2 linked regions of the Kluyveromyces lactis genome follow. The protein of the gene in region 2 interacts with the protein of the main gene of each other region in a pairwise test. Links are inferred from orthologs where the notes say so. Each region holds a gene or a part of one and is shown on either strand. Other genes may lie near its edges.

The links.
Region 1: the proteins of LAS17 (region 2) and END3 interact in binary tests that used the Saccharomyces cerevisiae proteins (3 or more experiments, as listed by UniProt). The link is inferred for Kluyveromyces lactis from reciprocal best matches to the Saccharomyces cerevisiae genes LAS17 and END3.

The regions. Positions count from the first base shown.
Region 1 is NC_006039.1:982,467-985,774, reverse strand, and holds END3 (End3p), read right to left. Parts: upstream 1,659-3,308; coding exon 516-1,658; downstream 1-515. Other genes in the region: chaperonin-containing T-complex subunit CCT2, read left to right, coding at 1-365; AXL2 (Axl2p), read left to right, coding at 2,769-3,308. UniProt on the Saccharomyces cerevisiae protein: Component of the PAN1 actin cytoskeleton-regulatory complex required for the internalization of endosomes during actin-coupled endocytosis. The complex links the site of endocytosis to the cell membrane-associated actin cytoskeleton.
Region 2 is NC_006039.1:433,790-437,425, reverse strand, and holds LAS17 (actin-binding protein LAS17), read right to left. Parts: upstream 2,707-3,636; coding exon 745-2,706; downstream 1-744. Other genes in the region: KLLA0_C04796g (uncharacterized protein), read left to right, coding at 1-619; KLLA0_C04752g (uncharacterized protein), read right to left, coding at 3,494-3,636.

The sequences.
Region 1 (3,308 bases), about 550 kb from region 2:
TGATTATGTCAAAAGCTGTTGACACAGTAGGGCAAAATGTTGAAGGTAAGAAAGCACTTGCTGTAGAATCTTTTGCAAAAGCCCTAAGACAATTGCCTACTATTCTTGCGGACAACGCTGGTTTCGATAGTAGTGAATTGATCACAAAGTTAAGATCTTCGATTTACAACGGCATGAGTACATCAGGTTTGGATTTGGATAACGGCACCATTGCTGACATGAGAGAACTAGGGATCGTGGAAAGTTATAAATTGAAAAGAGCTGTAGTAACCTCAGCCAGCGAAGCAGCCGAAGTCCTCTTGAGAGTGGATAATATTATCAGGGCTAAACCAAGAACAGCCGATAGACAGCACGGTCATATGTAAATTAATTAAATTAGTACTAAGCAATCACCACAAACGTTTAAATTTCGTTCTAATATCCAAAAAGTTAAGCTAAGAAGTGAATTATCATTATACATGAAACAACGTAGTTCAAAATTTACTCCAGAAAGTATATAGGGTAGGTCAATAACCTCAGTAAAGAGATTGCACCTCTATCTTCAAATTATGCAGTTCCGACTTCTTTGTTTTCAGGTACTCCTCCAACATTTGTACTTGCTGCTCAATACTCTCTATATCATCCCTCAAACCTCCAACATCAACGCTTTCTGAAGAAGTATTGGAATTATTGACAAGGTTTTTTTGGTATTCCAAGAACTGTTCTAACTGTTGTTTTACTAATTTCATTCTATCATTTGAGTCATTATGAGAGGTGGATTGTTGCTGTGCTGACGATAATTCAGAGTCAATATTTGCCAATTCCCTTTGAAGTCTGACTACTTCCCAATCAGTTCCCTGAGTAACAGAAAAATCAGTACCACCACGTTTTGGTATTTGGTAAGATGAAGAGTTAGATGTGGATAGTGTTGGCCTTCTTACTTCGCTCTGCTTGGAAGACAAATCCGTGGAAACTCTAGTCTTTGTAAAAGTTTCTTTCAATGCTGAAGGTAAATGTGATGGTATTGGGCAAGCATAGTCGTTCACTTGTCTCAGAATATGAATAAAGTATAGTGCTGGATCCTTATCTATGGAAGTGTCAAGCTTAGGATTAACCAAACGCCACGTTTTTTCTAAATCTTGAGATGATAGATTGATATACTTCGATCTAACGGCGGAGGATAGTGAAACATAAGATACACTATTGTCTCTAGAGGTTATGGCTGATTCATAAATTGATTCGTATTGTGACTTATCATCTCTTGATATATACCAATCAACTTCTTTTTGATAATCGTCTACAGCTGGCGAAGATGTCGGAACATTGACCACAGAACTTGTTTCTGCTGTTCCGCTACTACGTTCAGTTTTTCTTTGTTTGACTAATTCGGCTTTTGAACCGGGAATCAACCAATCTGGCAATTCATCTGGTACAGAATCTATGTTTTTATTAACCATGTCAAATATCATTCTCATACAAATCACAAACTCTTCAAAATCTAGTTGATCATCATCATCGATATCGGCCAAAAACCATATTTTGTTAAGTATCGAGGTGTCCAATTTAGAATTGAAAAGGATAGGCAGTACTTGATCATGGGTCAACTTATTTTCCACCGGTTTCAATCCGGAGAAAATTTGCCAATACTTTTTGATCTCAAATTGTTCAAGCTTTGGCATCTTAAATTGGTATTTGAATTATCTGTGGAGTCAAGCGCGATTAAAATAGAGGTCAGATATCAAATTAACACTGAGCTCAAACGTAATGTTTTCTTTGAAGTATGCCTGCGTTACTCACAATCAGTCAAAGAGACAGGAACAAATAAAACAAGAATATGTTATACCTGCTATCGCTCTAGCGTGTTCTTCGGTTTGAATCGTTTGGAACCTTATCTACTTCAATAAATTGCAATTTAAACCTTTTGGATAGTTCATCGTATTGATCTTAACAGTAATATCACCCATTTCAGTGCTGAAAGAAAATCAAAATTCCATTGACCTACATTACAAAAAGGGGAAGTCACGTTATACGTAACACACGTGACCTTGAATAATAGTCAAACAACCCCTCACGTGACAAGAATTTGTATCTGTTTTTTTTATATCTTTTTGGTGGATGCTACTGGTTTACCCGGTGTTCGCGTTATATCCTATTTTGGTAACACATTTAGAGAAATCGCGAAATGTTTTAAGGATGCCAAAAGAAGAATTATAAGTGAATCTTCAGAACTTTGAGGTAGGTGAGAATTTGGGGGACCAGAAGTAGAATGTGAGATGAAAAAAGCTAAGACAGGGTTGTAGAGGATTTCGATTGTTTCCAACTGGCCCGTTAGTTTACTGAGAAGTAATACCAAAATATAATAATGGTTTTTCCTGTCTTGCAACTGTGATATTTTTGGTGTCTTTCAATTAATATTCATATATTTCACGAGATGAGGGCTCCCGCCTTAAATAAAACAAGATGTATTCTCAGGGCCCATTCGTTTCTTCCTCATCTTAACGGTTCTGCAATCCAGTAACGCTTTTACGTTATACTATCCATTAACTTTTGAGATAGAAGGAGCAGCACTAACTGTCCGATCGCTACGTTGTTCATTGATCCATTCATTCACTCCTTGACAGCCTTCATCTGAAAGCAATAGCAGAGAGAGAATTAAGAGCTCAAGAAACGCATACAAGGAAAATTGGAACTAAGTTTACTCATAGTTGTTCAACTGGACTTTAGTTTTTAATTTGGAATAAGAGAAATTACACGAACGGAAATTAGTTCATTATACAGGGTTTAGGGTTATGAAGACTGAGTTGCTGTTGTCTTCGGCGCTGTCACTTCTCTTTGCCGTCGCATCAGCTTCTGTATACGAAGCTTATCCTATTAACAAACAGCTTCCACCAATTGCAAGAGTTGACGAGGATTTCCAGTTTAAAATCTCTAATGACACCTTTAAATCAACTAACGAAGGATCCGTTCAAATATCATATGAATCTTCTGAATTGCCAAATTGGCTTTCATTCGATAGTAGTTCTTTGACTTTTTCAGGTAAGGTCTCTTCCGACTTCCTTGATGATAACGAAGATACGAAATATTTCGACATCATACTTAAAGGTACGGATTCAACCGATTCCGCATCCTTCAACACGACTTTTCAACTGGTGGCTACCAAGAAATCAGGAATTTCTTTAGCCGACGACTTTAATCTATTAAACCTTTTAAAGAATTATGGTTACACTAACGGCAAAGATGCGTTGAAACTGTCTCCTGGAGACATATTCAACGTCACTTTCGAAAGAGATAATTTCGATGTTTCGAGTAATGATTCTGTGGTCACTTAT
Region 2 (3,636 bases):
CAAATTTTTGAAAGAAAGACTCATTTCGATTGGTATGCTTTGGTCGCAATGTGAACACCTAGAGTTATTATCAAATCAAGGTAACTTAGGACTCTTGACTGAGTATTTGTCTTCTTCAGTGAAGCTTCTACAAGATTCAATCGAAGAGTTAGAAGAGTGGTTGGAGGATCCAGTAATAAATTCAGACCCATTCGGAATGAATGACAAGTTCAGTGATGAGGAAGGTACGGATTTAGATGAAGAAGAGGAAGAGGAAGCTTCAGAATCCATGATTGAATTTGTCAAATCACTATCGCAAAAATCTCGTCTCCTTAAGCTCTTGTTGAGTTCATTATCCAAATCGATAACCATAAAAAAGGATACTGTAACTACAGCAGCATATCTATCTGAGCTAAATCAACTCCACAATTCAATAGTTTCTAACTCTGATACTTTAATTTCATCCACCTTAGTGAACGCTGAATATGAAGTAGATCCAGAAGTGGAAACATCAGTACTTGCTATCAATAATGATGTTAAGAAAGTTATAAAAATTATTACACAGCTAAACGGTTCAGATGAGTCCAAGTTGAAATGGATACAGGTATGGTCAAATAAGTGGAGTTCTTTGAATAATTAGTTTAGTTTTATCTGTCTTCTGTTTTAAAGGCATCTGAAAGTAATATATAGGTACACCGTACATACAAATACCAAATCATAATTCCACAGTCTAGTCAGATGCAGTTCAAGTAGGGTGAATTACTTTCACCAATCATCACCGTTGTCTATATCATCGTCACGAGCAACTTTATTCTTTCTTTGGTTTAAAGCCGCAGCTAGGGCATCAGCCAAGGACGCAGGAGCACCAACAGGTCCGCCAGTTGACCCGCCTGTGGGTTGAGATACCGGCGCATCACTACGAACTTCTTGTAACAAAGGACTTGGCTTTTCAAGTTGAGATTTATCCACCTTACGGAGGGAATTCAGACCAGCTCCACGAATCGATGCTAATAAGGCATCCCTTCCAGCATCACCAGTATTTTCAACAAAACCAGATCCTGCTTCAGGTTGATTAAATGCAGGGGCTGGAGGAGGAGGAGGAGGTGGTGGTGGTGCGGGCGCTGAGTTCGTTATCTGTGGAGCAAAAGGTGCCGGAGGGGCAGGAGGTGCTGGGGGAGGTGCAGTGCCATTAGGTACCGCTATATGATGCTGGGGTTGGGCTAACATAGGCTCGGTCGATGGGTGATACTGAGTGCTTACACCTGAGTGGGGTGGTAAGACAGGGGGAGGCGGAATGTATGCGGTTTGCTGTGGTGGTTGATATTGCTGAACAGGAGGCGCTGCATTGTAGGTATTATGCTGTTGAAGAGGAGGAGATTGCATTTGTGGTGGAAGCTGGGGCTGGGGAGGGCCGATGGCTGAGTTATGAGTTGTACCTCTGCTTGCAGGTGGAGAAGGAGCCTGGCCACCACGTCTAGGTGGTGGTGGTGGTGGAGGCCCTCTTCCAGTACGACTATGCTGACCGCCAGTTGGAGCATTAGGTAGAGGACCTCTTGAAGGAATGGACGGCGGAGCAGCTGAGCGTCTTGGAGGGGGAGGTGGTACCGGACCACGCCTCGAAACTGGAGGAGCAATACCAGGTCTCGTTGAAGTTGGTCTCGGAGGTGGTTGCAGACCAGCAACAGAATATTGTCCAAACTGAGGAGTGTTGTTATTAGTGACGTTTTGTTGTTGAGCTGGATGGGAAGGTGGAGGAGGGATTGCAACGCTTTGCTGCATAGGCGGAATCGAAGGAGGTGCTGCAGGTGAAGGAGAATTATGCTGCTGCTGGAATTGCGGATGAGGTGACTGAGCCAGTGGACGATATTGTTCTGCTGGTAAAGGAGGAGGAACTGCATGTACCGGGTGGTTTATTGGTGGAGGAGGATTACTTGGTGCTGGTGTTGATGCATAGGATGAATCCGGGGTAGGAGAATGAGTAGAGGAAACCGATGGAGGTGCAGGAGAGCTTGGGAATGATGGAATAGAGTCGTACTTATAAGATGGGATGCTCACAGGAGGAGGAGGTTGTTTCTCGACAGGCGGTGGCGGTGGTTTCGAGGCAAAAGAAGGAGGAGCGGCACTTGCATCTGAAGCTGAGTTTTCAGTTGAAGCATAATTCTGGCTGGGCTGCTCGTAATGGTGTTCCTGGCGGTGCTCGTGCTTTTCCGGTTCATATCTATATCTGACCCTTTGGTCACTGATCAAGGATTCGCCTCTTGGACCATGGATCACTTTACTCTCTTCCTCTTTCTTAATTTGGTCCTCTAATGCAATTGCATTCTTGTTGGCCAAGGTCTTCTTGGACGCGTATTTCTCCCGTTTCTGTACTCGTTTCAAAAAATGTGAAGCATCGCCAATATCGGTGAATAACAACCCGGCGTTACATTGTTCTAATTCAAAGGTATGAAAGAAAGTACGATCCTGGTTATATTGAAAGTTCACGTACAATTCTTGATCCCAGAGAACACCTCGATGCCCATGCACGTCGATCAACTTCAAAAAGAAAGTATTACCAACGATATCGTCCACCAATGCAATGGCACCAGATAAGCCAGTATAAACCCATTTCTCTGGATTAGGGTATGCAATGTATAACCTAGCGATAGTAACATCTATAATCTTGTTAGAAGCCTTGGGCAAAGCATGTTTAACCTTTTCTTTCTCAGCAGAATTCAAGCCTCCCATAGTATACTCGGAAACAACTGCTTTATGATTATTAATTTCTCAAAAGAAGTGTAAACTCGTTCAACTTGAAATCAATTCTTGACGGAGGCAGCTACCGATGGGTTCTAATGAAAATAACACAAACGCGCGATGCACTTTAGGGAGTGGGGGGGTTTGGCTGACTATAATTTACGGTTCTTAAGTTTTCGGTCTGTTTAACATTTCGCAACTTTTCAATTTTTCAATATTGAAAGTTGAAGCGATTCTTAATACGGCATTATTCCCCTATAATTCACAGAGTGATTCAGTGAAAGAAGAAGGGACCAACAGAACTGCGAGAGAGATAAAAAAAAAAGGACCTTTACACAATGGGGTTTGTTCAAGTTGCCATATTGAATTCAAAAGTACTAACAGACCATTTGTAAATGGGAATACAGTGTGCCCATTTAGGTCACTGCAAGGTACAGGAAAGACAAGAAGCATTTCAGTACGAACACGCATTCGAACATAATACGGAGAAAAATTAAGAGTTCTGTTTACTGATACATCTGGCCGACGCATGTGGACGTGGTTACAGCGGCACAATGGCAGAAGAATTTCTGTCCTGACCCAGGAACCGTCTGGCACTGCAGCATCTGACAAAAGTCAGAATCACTTTGTACGTGTTGATCGCTTTATGCTGGGTTTTTTTGGCAACCAGCATGCGGTATTCAAAAGGTAAACAACAGCTACATGCTCGAAGAGATCAGAGGGAGAAACATCGAAAGATGGTTTTTTTTTGCAGGTGGACGGTGTTTGGATTGCGTGCTTATGATGTGAAATAGTTTACAACAGGCGGCGTGATTGGGTTTACATTTTGTGTCTTGTTTACAGTTACGTTAAACGTAAATGCTTTCTTCTCTTTAGTCCAGCGTAAAACTCTTCCAAAAAGAATTCTTTTTCCTAGGCACT